Linked DNA regions of Oryzias latipes. The protein of the gene in region 1 binds, or shares a complex with, the protein of each later gene. Links are inferred from orthologs where the notes say so. Each region holds a gene or a part of one and is shown in the gene's direction. Other genes may lie near its edges.

The links.
Region 2: the proteins of mucosa-associated lymphoid tissue lymphoma translocation protein 1-like (region 1) and bcl10 are in contact, whole or in part, in a cryo-EM structure (PDB 6GK2), measured with the Homo sapiens proteins. The link is inferred for Oryzias latipes from reciprocal best matches to the Homo sapiens genes MALT1 and BCL10. Residues at the interface, in NP_006776.1 of Homo sapiens: Asp46, Gln47, Ala48, Pro49, Trp54, Arg55, Leu74, Glu75, Ser78, Leu79, Val81, Leu82, Glu83, Pro84, Glu85, Gly86, Pro88; in NP_003912.1 of Homo sapiens: Leu13, Lys17, Val83, Arg87, Asn93, Gln97, Thr100, Leu104, Arg107, Asn108, Leu111.

Annotation. Positions count from the first base shown.
Region 1 is NC_019867.2:1,788,031-1,799,734, reverse strand, and holds the start of mucosa-associated lymphoid tissue lymphoma translocation protein 1-like, read left to right. Parts: upstream 1-3,870; 5' UTR 3,871-3,980; coding exon 3,981-4,129; intron 4,130-4,293; coding exon 4,294-4,460; intron 4,461-5,381; coding exon 5,382-5,503; intron 5,504-5,599; coding exon 5,600-5,747; intron 5,748-6,484; coding exon 6,485-6,663; intron 6,664-6,738; coding exon 6,739-6,835; intron 6,836-6,927; coding exon 6,928-6,975; intron 6,976-7,631; coding exon 7,632-7,676; intron 7,677-8,595; coding exon 8,596-8,799; intron 8,800-8,968; coding exon 8,969-9,146; intron 9,147-10,696; coding exon 10,697-10,768; intron 10,769-10,850; coding exon 10,851-10,978; intron 10,979-11,704. UniProt on the Homo sapiens protein: Protease that enhances BCL10-induced activation: acts via formation of CBM complexes that channel adaptive and innate immune signaling downstream of CARD domain-containing proteins (CARD9, CARD11 and CARD14) to activate NF-kappa-B and MAP kinase p38 pathways which stimulate expression of genes encoding pro-inflammatory cytokines and chemokines.
Region 2 is NC_019875.2:28,862,943-28,874,508, reverse strand, and holds bcl10 (B-cell lymphoma/leukemia 10), read left to right. Parts: upstream 1-6,186; 5' UTR 6,187-6,610; coding exon 6,611-6,661; intron 6,662-8,713; coding exon 8,714-9,002; intron 9,003-9,096; coding exon 9,097-9,503; 3' UTR 9,504-11,101; downstream 11,102-11,566. Other genes in the region: outer dense fiber protein 2, read left to right, coding at 1,055-1,159, 1,424-1,582, 2,714-2,814, 2,885-3,047, 3,174-3,299, 3,392-3,565. UniProt on the Homo sapiens protein: Plays a key role in both adaptive and innate immune signaling by bridging CARD domain-containing proteins to immune activation.

The DNA of each region.
Region 1 (11,704 bases):
GATCCTGCCGTCATACTGTCAGTATATTTCCATTCAGTGAGGAAAACCTTTTGGACGTGTCTGTAAAACACCCAAGCTCCCCTGTCAGGTGTTGTGTTAATGAGGTTTGTGGAGCTCCGCTCAGCGAGAACTGAAAACGCCGTAGTTTTCCACGTCTCTGCTGCAGGGCAGAGGTCGATTCTTAGAACGCCGTCGTTTCTGAAAAGGGACAGAGACAAAGACTCCGTTTAAACTTTTTGTTTCTACATAAATGTGTCGTCTGGGTTCATTCTTGTTTTTTCATTTCATGTAGATGTAAAGGGAATAAGCATCAAGTTTAGCTAAGCTGCTTTCAGGCAAGAGGAAAAAGGAATCAAACTGATTCGCTGACTCACAATCCTGTCTTTGTAATTGCAGATGCAAAACTAGGTCAGAAAAAGGTTACATTTTCTTTCTTGCCAAGTAAATAAATAACTATTTTGGGTAAGAAGGGAGCTGAGGAAAAGTTGTCTTATTCTACCCTGCAAAACAGTCCCTGTAGAAATAAGTAAAACATTCTGGAAAAAAATAAAAAGTCTCTGTAAATAAGCAAAAATAACTGTGAATGGGGAAAGAGAAATGGTCTACGAAGAAACCTTCTACTCACTATGTTTTCTTACACTAAGGTTATTTTGCAGCTGAAAATTTTCTTGATTAATTTAAATTTTTCTTGCTAAACATAATTAAACATTTTTTCTAGAAACGAGGGTCTTTTTAATTTCTCAAGATTTCGTTTTTGCAGTGTAGATTTTTCTTACCAGACCGTGTCGCACGGCCTCTACGCACATTCTGCGCGTGTTGCACTGATTGGATTGGATAAATATACGTGGAAAAAGTGAAAATAAGTTATGGTCTTTACATTTTCACAGATGTATCAGAAATGAACGTCGTTAAAACCACAGAAGAAGTATGAAATTACCACGCAAAGAACACGTAAATGATGAATGACGGACGCAAGACACACATGGATATATATCACGCAGGTAACAACAAAGAGCAAAATTTCAGACATGGAAAATGCGCCAAATGTACGTAGTGACCGTGTGACGCAGCCTTTAAGTTTAATGCAAAACAAACCCAACTCAGGATCCACGCTGACCTCAAACATTGTTTGATTCAAATGTTGTGTTATGAAACCAGAAGTGACAGCAGCACCTGGGAAACGGGTCAAACTGAGATGATGAAACCGGGTCTTCACTCTCTCCAGTGTTTGCACTTAAGACAAGGAGCTGTGGTCATTACAGATGACACAACATGAGAAACAAATGAAACATCTTTGTGTGAAAGTTGACACTACAGTCTGATGCAGAGTATAAAGGAAATGTATGGAAGCTAAACATTTTGAGGTTAAGGTTCACACAAAAACATTATTATTAATCATTTTTATGTGATTATTGGTTTAAAATAAAATATATGTATAGTCATTATTAAAAAGAATGACTAAAAAATTACATTATTATTAAAAAATGTTTTAAATAATAATACAATAATAATAATAATAATAATTAATAATAATAATAAAAAACGTTTTTGTTATGATTATTGAAAAAAACAAATAAAACTCACTAATTTCTACATTTTATTATCTTTTATGGAAGCAAAGCGGAAAAATGACAGAGAAATACTTTACAACAATCTCAGATATTTGGTTAGGAACATTAAATTAAAATAAATTCAAAGCATTAAAGTTTTTGATTTTGAGTTTCGCCTTAGCCAGTTTGCAGATGACACCGTATTTTTTCTAAAAGACAAAAACACGGTAACGAAAGCCCTGCACATTATTTCCATTTTCTCAAGAGCTTCTGGTCTTCGACTAAACTTACAAAAATCTGAATTACTCCCCCTGTTCTCTTGTGAAAACATGAAGTGAAATATTTAGGAATTAAATTAATTAGAGATGAAAAAGAAAGAGAAGAAAAAAACATGATGGAAAAAATAAACCAAATGCAAAAATCATTAAATCATTGGTTAATCAGAGATTTAACCATTTTTGGAAGAAATCTGTTGTGCAAATCAGAAGGAACTTCAAATTTAATATATCCATGCCAATCTCCCTACATTACCCCAAAGAATGTAAAAGAAAATTAATTCGAAAATAAAAATTAAAAAATTAATTTTTGAGAGGTATAAAGACGCAATCAGTGGTTGGAACCTTTAGAATAAAATGGTTAAAGACTTTATGGCTAATCCTGACTCAATATGGTTTCATGTTCCCAAAAACATCTTCAAAAAAGTAGGTGGATTAGATTTTTTGCTGAGATGTGACTTTGAAATTTCCAAACTTCCTATAAAGATTTCAGAATTTCACAAAGTACTTTTCCACTGGAAAATGATATTTAGTCACAATTTCACCCCCACTGCGCCCCCCTGTGGAACAACAGAGTAATGACCATAAACAGGAAGACAATGTTTCATCAGAATTGGTTTGACCACAAGATCATTTCTGTAAGTGATATTCTTGATTTAAATGGAGAAATTCTTCAGTTAAGAGACTTCAAAAGTAAATATGATATTGAATGCAAAACCAAGGAATATTAGAAAACCTGCAGAGCAATTCCAATTGCTTTAATACACGTAATAAAAAATACAAAATTGTCTTCCTATGTTCAAATTAAACTACCAAATTTAGTAATAGGAGAAATAAAACTAAGTGAAAAAAATGATAATAAATGATAATAAATACCTAAACAAATCCTTTAAAGGTAAATTGTACCATGACTTTAATAAAAAAGTGAAATATAAAATAACTGAGACACCTGTCACATCAGGTTCTAAACTATGGAAATTCATAAAATGGCCAATGGTCCCCAAAATTCAAGAAACGTGTTTCAAAATCATAGACAATTATTACCCATCGGCAGAGACGTTGAGGAGTGGATTTGGCTTTGAGGTTGATCCGTGTGATTTCTGTCACGAGCCCCAGAAACAACCAAACAGCTGTTTTTTTCATGTCCAGTGATCATAAAGATTCTGGCAAGATTTCCATAACTGGCTTAGTCAAGAAATTTAAAACATACAATTCACAGAAAAATATATTTTGTTTTATGACAGTAAGTTGCCAAAAGAGACAACAAAATTAGTGAACATCCTCCTGATTTTGGGAAAATATCATATTCATAAGAAAAGTGGAGAAAAGATCGTCTGAATTTCCTGTGTTTTAAAAATGAAGTCAGACTGTTTTTATCATCATTGAAATGTATTCCCAACTCAAATCCATTCATTGATGACATTTGTAAATCTGCTACAGAATGGTTACAAATCTAGGGTCCAGATTGTTGTTTGCCTTGTATTTTAATTTATGCTGAAAGTTTTTTATATTTTTTATATATGTGTACATTCTTGTTTTGTTATAGTTTTTTATCTTTGTTTTTGTGAAGAGCTGTGACTTGCATTTTTGCGTGGTTGTGTCTGTTAGAGTTTTGTAATGATTATGTTTAAATAATTTAAAAAAATAAACTAACAAAAACTGTTCTGTTGTTGACGGACTTTCGGCTAAAACCTTTGACTGATGCTATAACAAATGAACGCATGAAAATGACGTAATGGAGGCGGAGACTGTCTACGTCACAACAAAACTACCCAATCTAACTGAAGACAAAAGATTGTATATGTATTATGAAGACACACTCCATCCATGTTATCTTGTGACACACATAAGTTTACAGTTATTAATTTTGGGTCTCGTGTTTTTTTATTTTAGTTACTTTGTTGTTTTTTATTTGAACATCTGATATTTATAACATTTTTGCATCAGGACATGGGTTTATTTTGGGTTTTTATCCATAGAGTAATGCATCTTTACACATAGAGGATCTTTGGCAAAGAGCAGCCGGGGAAACCTAAGGTGGAGTGGGCGTGTCTCTGTATGTCTGAATTTCAAGGAAGTTGTCGTTCTCGCGGCCGGCGGTGGTTGTTGTTCACGGTCGCCGGCGCGGAGAAAAGGCCGGTGGGGAAGAACCACCATGTCCGACGCCTGGGACAGATCTACAAAGATCTCCTCTCTGAAAGAAACTGTTCTGAGGAAACTTTGCGAAGTTCTGGACAAATCAAGCGTCAGAGGATGGAGACGGCTCGGGGAGATCGTCAACAACGACAGACGCTTTGAAGTCAGGTACGTTCACGCATCGTCTTCCGTTCTCGGGTTAACAGACAAACTTTGAGGCTTTGGGTCCTGAAAAAGTTCAGGAAAGTCCTACCAAGTTCTGAAAAGCCTTTAACAAAGGAGAACAGCGCCATGTTTTGTGGTTCTACACGTTTGCGTTCTTTCTCCTGCAGCTCCGACCACATGGAGATGTGCTCCCTGAGGGTCCTGGAGGTGGGAGGGAGCCCCAGCCTCATGCTGCTGAGGCTGATGGGAGATCGAGGCTGCACCGTGGGTCATCTGAGCGACTACCTGCAGACTCTGGGGAACACGGAAGCCCTGCAGTGTCTGAAACCACAAGGTTGTCTGCTGTCACTCACGTGCTTAGCTGGAATTCAGACCTTTCTGATGTTGAATTATTCTGTCAAACATGAGTCATACACACACCTGCAGAAACACACACCTATACACACCTGCAAAAACACACCTGCACACACCTGGAGAAATACACACCTGCAAAACACGCACCTGCTAAAACATACACCTAAAGAAACACACACCTGTAAAAACACACACCTGCAGAAACACACACCTGCAGAAACACACTTGCAGAAACACACACCTATACACACCTGCAAAAACACACCTGCACACACACACCTGCAGAAACACACACTTGCAAAAACACACCTGCACAAACACACCTGCAAAAACACACACCTGCACAAACACACACCTGAAGAAACACACGCCTGCAAAAACACACCTGCAAAAACACACTTGCAAAAACACACACCTGCAGAAACACACACCTGCAAAAACACACGCATGCAAAAACACACCTGCACAAAGACACATGCAAAAACACACACCTGCAGAAACACACACCTGCACAAACACACCTGCAAAAACCCACCTGCAAAAACACACACCTGCAGAAACACACCTGCACAAATATAACTGCACAAACACACCTGCAAAAACACACCTGCAAAAACACACACCTGCAGAAACACACACCTGCACAAACACACACCTGCACAAACACCCCTGCACAAACACACCTGCAAAAACACACACCTGCAAAAACACACACCTGCACAAACACACCTGCACAAACACACACCTGCAAAAACACACACCTGCAGAAACACAGCTGCAGAAACACACTTGCAGAAACACACACCAATACACACAACTGCAGAAACCCACACCTGCAGATGCACACGCCTGCAGAAAGTTTTGCGGTTCTTCTGACCCGCCACGTTCTCCGCCCCCTCAGCCCTGCAGATCCTCCTGCAGCCTCAGTCCGTGGCTCTGCTGGTTGGACACAACCTTCGCCTCAGCTGCCTCGCCGTGGGGAAATCTGACGTGCAGTACCAGTGGTTCAAGTCCCGAGAGGAGGTTTGCTACCACACACACGGTTCCGGACTTCTCCCGGTTTTCCTGCGTCCGTGTGTGGATGACAGGCTGCAGACATTTCTTGCGTCTCCACCTCAGGTTCCTGGCAGCTGCTCTCCTGACCTGCTGATCAGCTCCGTCCAGCTGAAGGACGCCGGCTTCTACATCTGCAGGGTGAACGGCGAGGGCGCCTGTGAATTCAGCCAGTGGGCTCAGGTGGACGTCCTGAACGTCGGGGTGTCTTACGGTCAGACTTAGGGTTTCATTTCTGAGGAATTCACCTTAAAGCCCCCCGCCCCCCTCACTTTGTGATTCACTGTGGTTGTGTCCGAATTCCCACCCTAAATACTAAAAACACCATGTAGTGCCCTGGATTTTAAAAGCTATTGGGACACCACGCTCACTACGTGTTATTTTTTATAAATGGCAGATATGACATCATCGATTTCAAAAGGTTTAAACCTAACTGATATGAGTGTTTTGTGACGATTATTTATGGTTGTGTCGGAATTCCTCCCTACTTCACTCTATAGGGCGTTGTTCATTTTCCAAATCTACAATTCCAAAATCCAGAGCCCTAGAAATTTCCCAGAAGTCTCTGCAAAAAACCAGTGTGCATCGATGCTCACCAGATCTGTGAAAATAGACCACAATGCATTGCGTCGAAACAATTTTTTCCCCAAAAAGTATCATTAAATGTATTTTTTTTAATAAATCATCAACATTTTTATCAGACTCATAAATAATCATCGCAAAACACTGATATCAATTTGATTTGAAAGTCCTAAAATCGATGATGTCCTTTCCGTCCTTAAAGAACAAATTAGCGAGCGTGGTGTCAGAATTGCTTTTAAAATTCAGGGCACTAGATAGTTTTTTAGTAGTTAGGGGTTTGCATTTCTTACCTTTTGGTAAAACAGTTTTTTTTCTATGAGAGGAAAATTGGCTCAGAACCGAACTTCCCCTCTGCTCCGCCTCCTCCAGGGCAGAGCTACCACTCCCTGGACGGACGGTTGAAGCTGGTGGTCCAGCCGCAGTCGCAGACGCTGCACGCCGGGGAGAGCCTGCAGCTGGAGTGTGGCGCCGTGGGGCGGCCCATCCCTCGATACCAGTGGCACCGGAACGGAGTCCCGGTCCCGAACGCCACCAAGCGAAAGCTCTCGGTGACCTTTTCCCGTCTCCTCTTCCGAGTCGATCAGATTCCTCGGCTGTAGTTTAACCAGACGGCGTCGTTCCAGATCCCTCACGTGGCGCCGGATCACGCCGGCAGGTACCGCTGCGAGATCAGCAGCAGCAGAGAGAGGATGTGGACCAACGAGGTGGACGTCTCCATCGGTACGTAGGGCGCCGTTTCCTGATGCCTTCAAGGACAGCAGGTTTTCCGAACGTCTGCACAGTTCTCATTTGCTTCTGCTCTTGATTGAAAGCGCCGAGGATTTCGGTGAAGGTTTCAGAGCCAGAGGAGGTCTCTGAAGGTAGAGTGGAGAGCTGCCTGCATGCTGATGTCACTACTGCTGAGGATTATGGGAAATTAACCCAAGCCAGCCTTTCTGTGGGTTGTTTGTAGATTCTGAAGGGACTAATATTGTGGGCTTTGATGAACACTCAGGATTTCTGTGTTTTTTGTCTTTTCTAAGAGACGACAGAACCCATGAAAATATAAAATATGAATCTGTAAAGTGTGGTCGTCAAAGAAAGAAACGTTAAACGGGAGACTTGATCGTGTCTTGGGCTGCACGTTCTCATTTTAGCGTTCGTTCAATTCTGGTTTCAAAGTCGTGCAGCTTAAAGACTCTGATGCTTTGATCACTAACATTTGTCTTTTGAACGTTAAGGTCTGCAGGGATTTACTTTACGGCGTCGCCTGAGATGTTTGGCGTCCCTTCGACGTCTGCTGATGGGTTTTTGCGAGGCTCCTTTTTATCTTTTCATGGGTTTTGCATGAAATAAATTCAAAAAACCAAACTTTATGTTTCTGTTTTTGCTGTAATCTGTAGTTGCATGAACATTCTGATCCGTTGGCCTCTGATTCTCCCCCGTTTAGTGTTGAATGCTTGGAACGTCTGGAGTCTCATCGGACTCGCTGCTTTGGCCGGTTGGATTGTGACCCTGGTTCTGTGTTTTGTTTTAGTGTCCGGTGAATATTTCCTGAACAGTCTTCCAGAGAAACTTTACGGTGAGTCTCTTTGAGCTTCTTCCTGGTCACATTTTCTCATGACAGGAAGTGAGCCTGCAGAATCCAGACCCCAGAGGCTACAGGTTGAGGACCGCGATGACATCATTGGTCGGACATGGGTCGTTTCCACAGAGCGGTTCAGATCGGTCCAGTATTTTGAGCGTTTCCATTATAAAGAGGACCGGTTAGGGCGGAGCTACTGTTAAAACCTGTTTGAGTAGCTCGCGTCGTAAAAGTGCTAGACGAATAAAGTTTGATTTGATTTGATTTGATTGGCTGAGGGTCATTTCGATAACAGAAAGCACCATGGAAAGGTTCACCTGAATAGCCTGGCCTGTTTTAAACTGGACCGGACCGCCTGATTGTCCTCAGTGTGATCCTTCCTCTCATCATATCTTATTTGATTGTATAATCATTTCATTGTTTTTCCGTATATGTAAATGCCTGACGAGGTTTCCATCATCAGAAAAGAATGGTCACCTCGCCAGGCATTATCCTGCCTATACCACGGTCACGTGTTCAGTTCAATGCAGTTTTATTTATTATCACAACACAGTCGTGTCAACGGGCTTTAGTGGGATTTAAACGCAGCGATTAGTAAAAGGTTTAAATTGATTATTAGAGGATTATTGTTTTTTGCATTTGACTTTGATGTGTACGTAAGGGAGAAATACACAAACATCTGTTTTTCATACCTCTATGTTGTCAATAACTTTAATTGAAGGGATTCCATTTTTAGACAAAGTTTCTACTTTTTCTTCAACTACAAAAAATTCCATTCAGACAGGGGTTTAAAAAGATGGGCGGAGCTCCTTTGGACTCGCCAACCACAGCGTGCTTCAGTTTCCCGCCCGTTTTTTGGGAATATAAAATAGATTTTCATCACCCTAACGACCGTCTGTCTGATATTGAATCCCAGCAACCGACAAAGTGGCGCTGCTGATCGGCAACCTGTCGTACCAGAACCACCCGCAGCTCAAAGCCCCCATGGTGGACGTGTACGAGCTCACCAACCTCCTCCGGCAGCTGAACTTTAAGGTCGTGTCGCTGCTGGACCTCACGGAGTCGGAGATGAGAAACGCCGTCGACGAGTTCCTGCTGCTGCTTCACAAAGGCGTCTACGGTACTTTCAAAGACATTTCATCTTCATTCTTTTATTTCTTCCTCACCGTTATCACTTATTTTAACTGATGTGGCTGGAAAATGTTTAAGAGAATGAAAAACTGTAAATGAGATTGTGGAAACAAAAAGTTTGTTGGACCTTGGTGTCATGGCGCTCCATCCCTGTTCAGGTCTGCTGTACTACGCCGGTCACGGTTACGAGAACTACGGGAACAGTTTCATGGTGCCGGTGGATGCCCCAAACCCCTACCACTCGGCCAACTGTTTATGTGTGCAGAGCGTCCTCAAACTGATGCAGGAGAAGGAAACGGGCCTGAATGTCTTCCTGCTGGACATGTGCAGGAAGAGGTGGGTCCTTTCTGGACTTCAACTTAAGTTTGTATGAGACGCTCAAACCAACCGTTACCGCCAAAGAAAAGACAAAGTTCAAAGTCTCAGCTGTCCTTACGGGTGGATACGGGCTGTCTGTGGGGGGCAAACCCGTACGGGGCATGCAGGTGACCCGCGACATATGTCAAGGTGGTCAACCGCTCAGTGAACCCGTAGAAAAAGATGTTCATGCACATTTTTTATTCATTTATGCAACCAGGTTTATGCGTTCAAGAACCTGTGTTCACGCTATTAGCTTACGGTGATCACACTGGACTGTCGCATAGTACTGGGTACTAGCACATGTACCTGGTACTGGGTACTAGCACATGTACTTAGTGCCCAGTACAAGTTACCTATACCTAGAACTGGGTAGTAGCACATGTACAAGGTACATGTACCTGGTACTGGGTACTAGCACATCTACCTACTACCCAGTTCTAGGTACATGTACCTTGTACTGGGTACTTTCTGGTGGATCTTGCTCCAGGCGTTTTCTTTCACAGCCTTACTCCAGAGCTTTTTTAAAAGGTTTTGCACTTTTGTGAATCCATACATCACTAGAGTCCCTGATTGGTCAAAGTTTGACCTGGTTTAACTTTCAATGCATGTTTCGTCCGGAGAGACCTCAAACGATCGTAGTAACTTGAGTAGCAACACATGAACGCTTAAAAACTGTAACATTCGCACATACGTGCATTTACATAGACTTTTCGCGTTGCGGAGGCCAGTGTTAACAAATCTTTAGAGTAAAAAAGGCTTTAAGTACAATTTGATGCACGTAGAGCCAAAAAACTGACCTAAAACTGTGCATAGCGACACGTGAACGCAAGAGTTTCGAACTCGGAAGTCCGAAACGTGCATTTACACGCATATACTTGGATTTTTCATTGGAAGCGGTCACTTGAACACGTGTTTCTGGGGCCGGTGTGAACTTGGCTTTGGAAATGAGGAAACCAGGCAATCATAGTGTCGTTTGCGTGGACAACCCACTGCCGTCCTACGGACACTTAAGTATCGCATCCACACCCTGTGAGTGCAGCATTTGTGCGCGATCACTAAGGAGCCAGAACTCACGCCTCACTAATCACTAGAGTGAAGCGTAAAAGCGTAAGGACGGCCTACGGCCGCATCACCCGAACGCCATATGCGTGGAACGTCCTTACCAATACTTCACGATACACTTACTACAAACACGGCAATGGTACGTTCCATTTTCATGACGGCCCTTGAGGTGGTCGTACGAGCCTTAAAGGAATTGAAAGACTCACCTGCGCTCCCCTTAAGAGGTAGCCGCTCCTCTCTACGACCCTCCACGGGTCAACATACGGGTCAGTCCCCCTGTGAGAGCATGTGACGAAGGCAGTCTGGTCCTCTGAAGAGTGCGGCGTAAATGCTGACTGAACCAAACCAAACCAGTTCCCCGATTCTTCACGTCTGTTTAAGGCTGTTAACCCAAAGTTTTAGATATGAAACATTCCTGGCTAAATCCGTCTGTAGACTTTTGTCCCGTGTCATCGCTTCTCCAGGAATTTCCACGATGACAGCACGCCAAACATCGTCCTGAGAGTGACGGCCAACATCGTGTTTGGATACGCCACGTAAGCGCCGTGCCTTGGTTGAAACCGTAAGTGTGTGTGGTTTCTGCTGCTCAAACGTTGGATTCGCTGTTTGGCTGCTCAGCTGTCAGGATGCGGAGGCCTTCGAGCTGAGCTCCACCAGCTTCATCAATGGAGTGTTTGTCAAGTTTCTGAAGAAGCGTCTGCTGGACGATGAGAAGATCACCGTGGTGCTGGACCGAGTGGCCGAGGGTGAGAGATCCCAGTTAGTAAGGCATCCATTTTCCATACATGGTATGGCCCCGTCCTATATCAAATACCTCATAGTCCCTTACCATCAATAAGAACACTTCACTCACTAAATGCAGGACTGCTTGTGGTTCCTAGAATTAGTAAAAGTACAGTTGGAGGTAGAGCGTTTAGCCACCAAGCTTTTTGTCAGACTAGCTAGTAATTAGAGAATATTTACTTTACTGTTAACATGTTTGAATTAAACTTAATAACAACAATGAGTTGCTAGTAGGCTGCTCCAGATCCTGCCTGCATCTTAACCCATCTATGACCCGACCCGACCTATGACCCGACCCGACCCTTGCACTACACACACTTCCAGGAAAGATCTGATCCCATTGCAACTAGATCCCATTTAGGAGTTTTTTACCACCAAGGAGGGTCTTTGGGCAGGGATGTCCAGTTGAGTTTCATTCTATCACTTTCTGTTCTTTATGATTCATGTTTATTATCCAGTTACCAGTATGAAGCCCGTTGAGTCGACTGTTGTTGTAAATATTGGGCTATATAAATAAAATTGAATTGAATTTTCTAAAAGCCCCCGTATCCCTTTCGGGGTCACCAGAGCTTAACCTGCCTACTGTTGGGTGAAAAAACTGTGGGTTTCTTTTAAAATGCTAAGGTGTTCCTGGAGGGTTCCAGAAGGGGGCGCTGGCCCACGTGTTGATGGGGTTTGTTGTTTAATTC
Region 2 (11,566 bases), on another chromosome or scaffold:
CCGCAATCTCACATGCATTTTTGTGATAATTGTGGCAAAAAAAGCTGGAAGTTGCTGCTGATTTTTCTTTAAAAAAATGTAATAAAAGTTAAGTAAAAAGATTTTAAAAATCAGTTTGATGTGTTTGTTGCGGTTTCACAACGTTGAACAAGGACGACTCATTGTGTGCAGAGACGCTGTCATTTTAACCCAATGCATCATGGGAGATGTAGTACAAACAGCCAATGAACGCAGAAAGACTCGCGTCTCTGAGCTCTGAGACCCGCCAGCTCTGAGAAAACAATGAAGCTCATTGTTTTGTTCACTTGTTCCACGGTCTGAGACCGGATTCTGTGGAAAGCTACACCGCTAAAGACGAGCTTTAGCTGGTATTTTTGTTGGAACTGAGAGACTTTATGAGCAGAATCAGAACAAGGAAGTGAAGACTTTAACCACTTCTGATTGGTCAGACTGATGACATGTGATTAAGCCTCCAAGAATGATCGGTGGAGACAGTTAAAGGGGGGGGACTTTTCAGAAAATAGCTGACGCTGCGGCTAATTCGCGGTACCGTCATTCTTATCAAAATGTCTTTAATAGGATCAAATAAAAACAAAGAAAAAAGTATTTTATAATCTTTCATATTCTTAACTACTCAGTGTTTTATCAGGGCCTGTTTGGATGAACACAGAGCTGAAATCCTGGAGATGGAAAATGTTTTTAGATCAGTGAATGAGGGCAATTTCTCACGGCACACTGGTTGGAAAACACTGAGACAAACAGATCCATGAACGTCTTTGTTTTCCTGGTCTGAGCTGGAATCTGGATCTAAACTGGACGACTGGATAGATGAGATAAAGCTCGCCATTTTTGTTGCACAGGTATTAACAACTCCGAGGTGAACTCCTGATGTACTCCTGCCGCTCTGCAGAAACTATGTCCTAGAAATTCACACAGGGTTTTTGATTTTGGCCGAAATCAAAATGATTAATAATGGGAGGGCTTTAAAAATTGATCAAAAAATGATTGGAGTCGGTCTTTAACAAATGTTTAACTTTGTCTTTATTTTCTTTAGGCTGCAGAACTTCAAGCTGAACTTGAAAATCTCCGATTGCGATATGCAAATCTTTTAAGGGAGACCCACAAAACAAAGCATGGAACAGAGGCAGAAGTTGAAAAGGTAACAGTCCTAATAATAAAAAAAAAAAACATGACGTCACAGAACTGTGGCAGTTCTTATTGTAATCAGATTTCATGTGACGGTGTGATTACTGTTGATCCCATTATTCTGCATTCACCCTGACAACCTGAGTCTATCATTTGGAGCCGTGTACATCAGCTGGCATGAAGCTGATGCGCAGCTGCAGGCATCGCTTTGGGAGGTGCTTTAAATCTTCAGGTAACGCCATCTACCCCCCTCTGACTCCTCCCCCTGGGGGTCCAGGTGAGGCAGGAGCTGCAGGGCCGTGTGGAGGAGCTGAAGGCTTTCCCTGAACTGCTGGCTTCGTCCGAGCAGAGTCTCCTGGAGTGTCAGGAGAGCCTGCTGCACCTGGAGAAGAACTGCTCTGACAAGTCCCAGTTCGTTCAGAAACTTCACGTGAAGGTCTGTCGTCAGAGGATGTGCAGAAGACGCTTTCTTACATCCGAACACTAGGTGGCAGTACAAACGTGTTTGCTGTGTTCCTCACAGTTGTTGGTAAATGTAGACAATTCGGATTTTTTTTTTTCATGGATGTTCCGGTTTGTGGTTGTGTTGTGTGAGTTTGCATGTTCTTGAGTTTCTTGAAAACGTCAAATGGAAAGAAGAAAAAAACACGTTATTGCAACTAAAGAGGAAACTTTATGTATGTACTTCTAAATACTACACAGACTTGTTTGTCCCCCCAGGTAACTAAAAATGACAATGGTTGCTATGGAGATAAAACTAATAGAAAAGCCATCTTTTTTTTTAAATGATGTTTTTTCTTCAAGAATTTGTTGCATGTAGCTCCAAACCAGGGCGGCAAAGTGAGAAAAGTGTGGGAGGGGCATATAGCAGCCACTCAGGCAGTGAGGGCAGGTCAAAAGGGGGGGCAACAGGGGCAAGTTGCCCCAGTGGGCCATACATTGCTCCTCATGGTTTTAATTTTTAAATGTTTATTTGATAGGGGCATTTCACATTAAATACAATGTCTGCAAATGCACCAGATTGAGGGGAAAAAATATATATTTTGTATTATTATTATGGTATTATAAATAATATGTCTTTTAATAAAAGAATAGAAGATAAGAAGCCCCGTGTACACTTTGCTGTTTTAGATGCAACAGCTCACTAGAACTGTCAACATTTGATCTAAATGTGAACGGCGCTTTAAAAATGGCTGTAAAAATAACAAATAATAAAAATAATAATTTTTATTAAAAATCAAACAAAAGGAAAAAAATAAGTTTTGCTCAACAGGAAACTGTATTTTCTTGTCAAATATCAGACGGTTTCTGATGGTCCATTTGCTAATTAGTTGATTTTTTTTTGGAGCTCTCAGAGAAGAATTCTCATAAATAGTCACCTAAAGAGCCACAGCGCTCCCTAAAAACCTTTATGCCACAGAAGCATGAAGATGTTTCACATTCTGTCACCTCACTGCACGGTGATTTAAAAAAAAAAGGCTTCAGATAAATCTGGATCTGTGATGGAAACCTCAGGAGACAGTCAGATATCATGGTAGAGTTGAGTCTTTTGCTTTCATGTTCACAGATGGAGAGTCAAGCGAAGCAGCTGAGGTCGTCTGCAGAGATGACAGAGTCCGTTCTTCTCACCAATTCCCACCTGCAAGAGAAAGGACAGGCTTTGCAGAAGTGAGGAGCAAAGTCAGCGGAACGTTAGTCTGGATAAAACCCGGAGTTCACCGTGAGGTTGTCTCTGCAGACAGATGGACAGACTCCAGCAAGAGAACCTGGAGCTGGTACGAAGGCTGGCGTATCAGGAAGAAGCTCTGAGTTACAGCAAAGGCCAGCTGGACCAACGCTCGTCAGAGTGTCAGACTTTGAACCGGCAGCTGGAGGCGGCTCTGTCAGACGTGAGGCAGCAGGTACGCCTGAGAAGAGAGGCATCCGCCATGTTGTTCCAGCTGTTAATCCAGCAGAACCATCTAAACCTGAAAGTAAAACTTTAAAAGTGACGTTCTCACACGAGTGTCTAACATGTTCAACAACAGGTGAACGCGGTAAAAACTCTGGCTGCTTCTCGAGAGGAGGCCCTTCAGACTAAAATCCTGGAACTGGAAGCGGAGAAGAGCAGAAGGGACAACGAGCTGAGGCTTCTTCATCAGAGCAAGCTAGCTGTGAGCATCACCTACTACATCACTAAATGATTGTACGACTCTGTGTCTGAATGACAGGGCTGTGTTTCTGTGGTTTTGCTGTCCTTCTGCAGTCAGAGAGACAGTTTCAGGTGCGTCTGAAGGACCTGCAGCTCAGCCTGGACCAATCAGAGAGCCACAAACGCAGCATCCAGAACTACGTGGACTTCCTGAAGAACTCCTACAAGACCATGTTTGATGAAGGGCTGCAGGCAACCACTTTTGGATCCCTGCACTTTTTAGACTGATAAAGGTTTGCATTTTTGAATCCCAGACACATTTTATGCCCTATATGATATGAAATCAGAAGCCAGGTTTAACCTGTGGGGATGTCATCTTTGGACATAAACTGCTGTCATAGAAAATTTGATTTCTGTTTTATTAAAACGTTTTATTGCCGATAAATGTTTGCAGTTTTGGCAAACTTGGTGCTATTGTTGTTTTTTTTCTTGAGCCATTTGCACAAATGTAAACCTTTACCAAGAACAGATTTCTAATTTATTATTATTTTCTTTTTCTAAAAATTAGTAAAAATAATTTAGAATTCTGTGACATGTCTTATTATTACTGAACGGATCGTTTTTTTTTGTTTTTTTTTATGTTTAGGATGTTGTTTTTTTTTATGGGTAAAAGGTAAACTTGTTTTGTCAAACTTTACACACATTTTCAATCATTTCCTCGATAAGGTGTAAACTCTTTTACTGGGAAGTACTAACTCTGATTTAAACGTAAATGTGAAGTCGACAGAAATGACATTTGTTCAACGGAACCAAAAAAGCACGTAGAGATGATCCTGCAAAGGTTCAAACAGGAATAAAACTGGAATTATGGATTCCTGAAGGGACTGATGAACGCAAATGTTCATCAAACAGGATGGATTTACATCAATATGTGATGCAGGACTACAGCACCTATTCTATCAGACAATGCTTAATGTAAAACATTTACAGTTTACCTGCAGAAAACACTGATAAACCTTAAACATTTCACATTTGAAAAAACTACTCATCATTTTCTAGTTAAAGTACTTTAAGATTTAAAAAAAAAAAGTTCAATCTGAATTGTTTTTCTCTCCTGGCTCCAGCTCAGAGGCCTCACAAGAATAAAAGCCATGAATAACCACGCATCAGCTTTTTGAGTCTTTGTGTTTTAGAGGATTGTCTGACTTTTGACCAGCGGCGCGTTTTGAACATTCCAGTCGTAAACTCTGTCGTCGTGATCATACAGGAGGTTCAGCGTGTGCCAGATGCTTGGGCGTCTTCTCATTCTCAGCTGGATTGATGGAAAGTTAAACGTTTAGTTGATATTCAGTCCTTCAGGCTGCAATCAAATGTTTGTAAAGAACCTCTGTTGTTCAAATGTATTCATGCTGGTAAAGTTGAGGAGTTTTTCTGTGTCTTGTGTTTTTTGAAATAAACGCAGAGCAGCACTGCAGTGATTTTTCTTGTTTTGTATTTTTGCTGCATTCTTCAGAGCGTGAAATGATATTATGCTTTAATGTGTGTCAGAACCCCATTTTTACCTTCCTCTCAGGTTCTGTTGACCACTAAGGAAGCTTGAATGTATTGACAATGTGGAGTTTATTGTAATATAGTTAGAAGCTTTAAAAGAAAAAAATAATTTTTCTTAGTTCTTTTAATAAATTCAACATTTTTGCACCAGAAATGTACGGTGTTGTCCATTTTATTATCTTAAACAATACATTTCCTTGTTTTATTCAATATCTTTTCCTTGATCGTTTAAGTTTTATTAGATTGATTTGATGTTGGCTCTTGCAGGACAGTCTGAGGATGCTGCAGATTCTGATTTGCATCTTGTGAGTTAAAGTAGAAAATGTTTCTGTATTTTTGTTATGCAGCATTTTATCTTTTTTGACTAAATGCTTCTGGGTGCACTCACCAACCGCACAGCAGCAGTAAAAACCTTCAGTCATTTCAGCTTTTCTGATCATTGTAAAAAAAGAATTGTTTTTCCAAAGTAAACATTTCATATTTAGTATTTGGATTTCGTTAGAATATTAACACAAAAAGGTAAACAACATTTCAATCCAGGATGTTTTCTCTGAGGTGAGAAGACAAACCACTACACCACCATGCAGGCACATTTCAATTTTTTTCTATTTTTAAATGTAGTTAGTGTCACACAGCTTTTTGACCGATTTTGGACAATTTTACATCGATTTCTAAACATTGTCAGAGTTGCTGGGGCCTATCCCAGCCACTGTTGGGGGGAGGGGGTGTCTTGGTTCAACCTGGACTGTTCACCATCGCAAACTGTTTTTAGAAATCCATTATAATGATTATGATGATACTTTGTTTTGGACAAATACTATAAAAGGAAAAATAGGACCATATAAAAAACAAAAAGTACATGAAATATCTAAAAGGGAGTGAGAAAAAGTAGAAGCGTAATAAACCCTGTGCCCTATACACCAAATGCATTGCCACACAATGTACACCCGCCACATATGATGGACGAGTACATTTTCAGTTTCAGATACAAATATACTCGCATAGAACTACACACTTTCACTTTGTGTCTGTAAGGAGAGAGTTTCGTGTGTTTTACAGTTTGTTTTAAATTTTATTTATTATAAAAATGTTTTGCTTTTAGTTTTTAAGTAGAACATTTTTTTATTATTTGATTGATGTGTTGCACTTTGTGTTACTTATGTATGAAATGTTTGCTTTGTTAAATTAATAAAATTACATGATTAATCTTTGCGAATTTCATATGTTTAAATAACTTCAATAAAAATAGCTGTGATAATTGTCTAATTAATTGATATTTAAGATAATTGAAGCTGTCTGATGTGGCGCGGACCCACAGCGCCCCTGCGTGGACAGACTGGGAACAGCGCGTGAGCAGTTATGTGACTACAGATGGAAACAAAATTCAGCAGCACCGGAGGGGAAATCTGTTCTTCGGGGGCTTTCCCCGGTCTGTGAACGTCATACCAGGCGCATGACGAACGTTCTGGTCAGTGGCGGGAAGAGCAGATCACAGAGTGAAAGTTCCGTCTGTGCTCGGTGAACTTCTGCCTCCGGCCGCTTGACGTCGTCTAAGCTCGACTCAACCAGGAAGTCCGGACTTGCCTTTCCCCTCCGTGATTGAGGCAGAAAAGAAAAGTTGAATGAACGTCGGTTTTTGAGGCACCATGAACCCGCACGCGCTCGGGCGCTCGCGCTGATTCGGCGGCCGTGCTTTAATGGTGGTGTTCGGGAGGTTTAAGGGCCACTTTGGACGCACATCTCGGGTCGGTTGGAACACCTGGACCTTCGCCGGTGTGGGGGATGGATGCTCCTCACCTCACCGAGGATGAAATGGCAGAAATTAAGAAAGACGTGAGTACCGGAAGTGCCACTGACTTTTCGCTGATTTCGGGGTCGATGATTTTTTCTAGTGAGGTGATCGGGTTCACTGATCAGATATCCGTGACCTGCCTGAAAGAGGAAGTGGCTCGCCACACCCTCGTGCACAGTCTGTACCATGAAGTACAATGCAGTAAAAAATAGTATACTTTTGAACCAGTATACGTTCAAGTGGAATTACTGGCCTCCAGAATAAAGTAGAGAAACATCACCTGTTGCTTAGTTGTAGGTGTGAAAGTTACCTGTTCTGGCCTTGAACAGGTCACTTTGTTGACCCCCCCCCCTCCTCCTTTTGATCCGCCTTGTACAGTTGACCTGGATGACCCCGAGCCATCTTGTCTTTCTATGGTCTTAAAGGATGTACCTGTGCCTTTGTCCTTCCTGCTCTTCTGTCCAGATGTTCTCTTCATGATAATCGTGTGTCCTCTTGCGGTAGCGGTCGCTAACTTGTCTCTTAGTTTGCTTCATAAAAAGCCTTTTTCGCTTAAACATGGACGAGGGGTTGACGCTTATGGTATTGTGCGTTTTGGGGTTGTCCGGTCCGTTGGAGGTTCGTAGAGAGGAGCGGCTGTATCTGAAGAGCGCAGGTGTGTATTGCAGTTCTGTTAAAGCTCTTACGTCACCTGAAGGGACGCCATGAGAATGGATCGACCCATTGCCGTGTGTGTGGTAAGTGAATCAGTATTGGTAAGACTACAGGAAGTTGTGCAAACGTATGATGTACGGGTGATACTGACTTACGGGGCCACCACCACGCTATAGTTGTTAGTAAGTGTAAGGACTGACCCCCTTACTGAACACACGGGGCGTGCACGTGATAAGTAAGTGAACTAGGACGCCTGTAGGATGTCGCTCTAAACATTGTTCTTGAACACGCACTTTGGCCATGGCGTTCACACTGCTCTTGCAGGGAGGGGCTTCTTCTTTTTCTTTTTTCACGTTTTACTGTTGCATGTCCATCACCTACAGTTGGAAGAAGCTCGGTGTGAAATGTAGAAGGGGTGCAAATCTCACAAGTCGTGTTCCAGGCTTTTTATTTCACAACTGTATTCCGATATACGAAAGACTTGGTGTCGTAGAATTCCAGCGGGCCAGAAACCGGAATGACAAACGCTTGACATTTCCGTGAATTGAAAGGGACGCCACCCCCACGTCATGACCAAATCCGAGTCCCTGATTGGACAAAGTTTGACCTGGTTCAACTTTCAATGGCCACGCATTTTGTACGTAGAGTCCGAAAACAGTCGCAAAAACTTGAACGCGAGAGCCCGAAATGTCCATATGCGTTTCAGGCACGCGTTTACGTAGACTTTTCACTGGAAGTGGTTGTTTGAACGCCCGTTGCCGAGGGCGGTGTGAACGTAGTTTTAGGGGCTCCTTGCACAAGACTTGTGGGTGGGGTGGGGTCGAATACTTGGAAAAATCTGTACAACACGCCTGCGTCTGGCCTACTTCACCCTTATGTGTTGTTTAAGTGTTCACGAGGACCTGCCGCCCGCCGCATGCCGGTAGAAAGGAAAGCGCATGAACATTTTGGCTCTTTGGTTGACTGAGCGGTCCACGACTTTGATATTTCCCATATCCACCCATAAGGTCGGCGGTGACTAAGGCTAAAGGTGTTCTCGTGTGTCTCATTTCTTTTTGTTGCACGTAATGACTTGTCTCTTTTTTCCTCTCATAACATGTTCCAGTGTTTTTCTTCATGTTTTTACTATCACCCCATTGTTGCAGATATTATCTTGTCTGTTCTTTTTGGTTCTGTAACAAATGTTTCAATATTTTTGTCTCAGTGTTTGCCTCTTTCTTGTTAGTTCTTTGTGTTGTGTAGGATTTCTTCTATTTACATTTTCTAGAAGGGAGTCTTTTTGTGTTCAGTTTTGGAGTGTATATTTAAAAAAAAAGTTAAATTTATCTCTTGAATTATTTTAAATAAATTAGATTTATTGCAATTGGAGTAACTTATCAGTTTGCCATTGGTTATAGGCTGGGTCATTACAAATACACCAAATTGTCTGGATTTTCCAGGTTCTGACCAGACTGCGACACTACCTCTGTGACAAGATCAGAGCGGATCGCCACCTGGATTACCTGCGCTCTCGCCGCATCTTGACCCGGGACGATGCCGAGGAGATCAGCTGCAGGACCACGCAGACGAAGAGAACGGCCACGCTGCTGGACATCCTGGCTGAGAACCCGCGCGGCCTGGACGCCTTGGTGGACTCCATCCGAGAACTGCGCTCGCAAAACTTCATCATCGCCAAGATCACGGACGAGGTGCAAAAAGCCAAAAATGAAAAGCTGGAGTCTCTGAAAGGTAAAAGCAGGTCCTAGGACGACCTTCTATTTTTCCTCTGTTGGGTTTTCCTGATTGTTTCTCTATTTTTCCCATCATCCCCCCTCCCCTTCAGCTGCTGGAGCCTTTGGTTCATCATCTGACGGCGCCTTCAGCACACCCAGCAACCCGGGGGACCTCCCCACCACATTTTCAAACAGCTCCACTCTCATGTACCACCCGGATAGTGAGCACAGCCCCTCCACCTCCGACATGGGAAGCTCTCTGAATCTGCCGTCGTTGCAGAAGTCTGGAGACTCCACCTCTGGCGCTAGCATCGGCACAGCTTCCTCCACGTCCTCGTCCAACCTTCCTAAGCCAGGAGACCCCGGAGCTCCGCCTCTTCCGGACGAAGTGGAGGTGGAGTCCCCGTCTAACATAGACTCAGCAGCACAGGGGTGCAGCAGCAGTGGGGGAGACCCGAACTTCCAGCCGCTTCGGTCCCGTTCCCTCACCCCAACGTCTCACCGGAGCATCTTTTAACCTGAAAGGACCTGCTGATGGAACCTCGCATCGCTTCTCTGTATTTGACCCGAATTCTGCACATTTGGGTGCGTTTGCAGTCAGCGTCCTGCAGGACAAGGGCAGGACGCTGACGCACAGGTACCCACAGTTCTAAATATATGTGAAGGTTTTAAACGAATTAAGGGGCATTTTGGTTTAGATGTTTGTGGTCGCGCTGTCGACTTGTGAATTTGTTTTTGACCAGCATCTTCATCGTTTCTTTAGTCTTAAAAGTTTTCTGGATCCGTTTGAAAACTGTTTCAGGACAACTGACTTTAAGGAAACACCGGATCTGAACGGAGACCACCCGTTAGTTTACGTCCGTACCCCGATCCTTTTTTGATCCAGTTGCAAAGCGTGGTTTTCTAATTATGTGGTTTTCTAATTATGCCGTTTTTAGCCAAAATGAAAACATTTGTGTCGTGTTCTAGGACTTATTTGGTCCAGAGCATCCCTGCCCCCCCCCCCCCCCCTTTCACCCATGGCTCAGAACGCTCAGCTAGCTGTCCTGCTAGCTTACAGCCCCTCCCACCCCTAACCTAATATTACCGGTGCAATGAAAATGGTGAGCAGTATCGTAGCTATCCAGCCGTACAGTTTAGATCCAGATTCCAGCTCAGACGAGGAAAACAAAGACCTTCATGGATCCGTTTGTCTGACAGTGGATGTATCAGAAAGGGGCGGAGCAGGGAGCTTGTGGCCCCGCCCCAGCGTATTGTCTACATCACAGATACAATCTTTTCTCAGATGGGGTTTGTTGTCTACTCCCGATTCATGATTTGAATAAAGAAATACTCAGAAATGCGTTTTTAAGCTTAATTTTCTTCATAGATGTCCTTTTATCTCAAAAAAGAAATGCAACAAGAAGATGTTAAAAACACAATTTTCATCTGAGCGGGCCTTTCGATAGAAATGACAAAAGACAGAATATAAAACTAACCAGAAATCACTGAAATTCCTCTTTAGAAGTTGACCAGAATTGAAGATGCTGTAAAAATGCCTGTAAAGCCGTGCTGCAGCACTTCTGCCGCTCCACACAGTCTCTGTTTCAGGTGTCGTCGTCGTCCTTCTTTTCATAGCAACAGCCTCTAAACGGATTTGTAGTGATTTGTGACTCCAAGCCTGGAGTCAAAAAAACTGAACTGATCCAATAGAAGTGGAGAAAAAGTTCTTTTCTTTTTTTTTTGGGAACAAACTCCTCATTGAGATTTGACTCCTAACATCTGAAGCCAGAGAGGGTAGAGTGTTGGGGAGACAAAAAATACATCGATGTATTCAAGTCCTACTGGATCTGGAGGTCAGGAATCTCTGACCGCTAACCTCTGAAGGTTTAAGGAGTTCTTCTTCACGGAGGAGGAGAAAACATGGCGGCCTCACTTCTGCTTCTGCGCGGAGAGACGGTCACCACGACAAACGAGGGAGGGGCTTTTTAACCTGCTTTTTCTGTTGCATCAAGAATCTCCTTCACCTTTTTCTTCACTACAAGAACTGAACACAAACATGTACGAAGCTCTAAACTGTACTCTAAAGTGTACACAGTGACCCGAGCACAATAAAGTTTTTTTTATGCAAATTCAGCTGTGTGTGTTTGTGTTTTATTAGTGTGCTTGTGCTAGAGCAGCCGAAGAAATAAACATCCAAAAAGACTAAGTTCATTTTACTAGTTGAATGCTATAAATCCTCCAACCCATCGTTTTCCTGTTTCTCTTTCTTTATTTAATTTTTGCCGCTTAACTCCTTCAAATTTTCAGCTATTTTAACCATTCAACTATCAACATTTTCAGCTTTTTCCAGCTATGACTTTCCGGTCCTTCAAATCCTTGAATGTTTCTGCCTCCATTGAAATCCATGGGGAATCCTTGGTGCAGAAGCTCGCTGGTTCCATACCCGGCTCTGGCATTTTTCACAAAAAATCTTTTCTGTTTTCTGTTATTGTGCTGTTTTCACTTTATTTATGGTCAACTTGGATCATTTGTTTTTTTATTTTTTGCCAATTATTACCCTGTAAGTTTCATTTTCATTCAGCAATATAGCATTCAAGC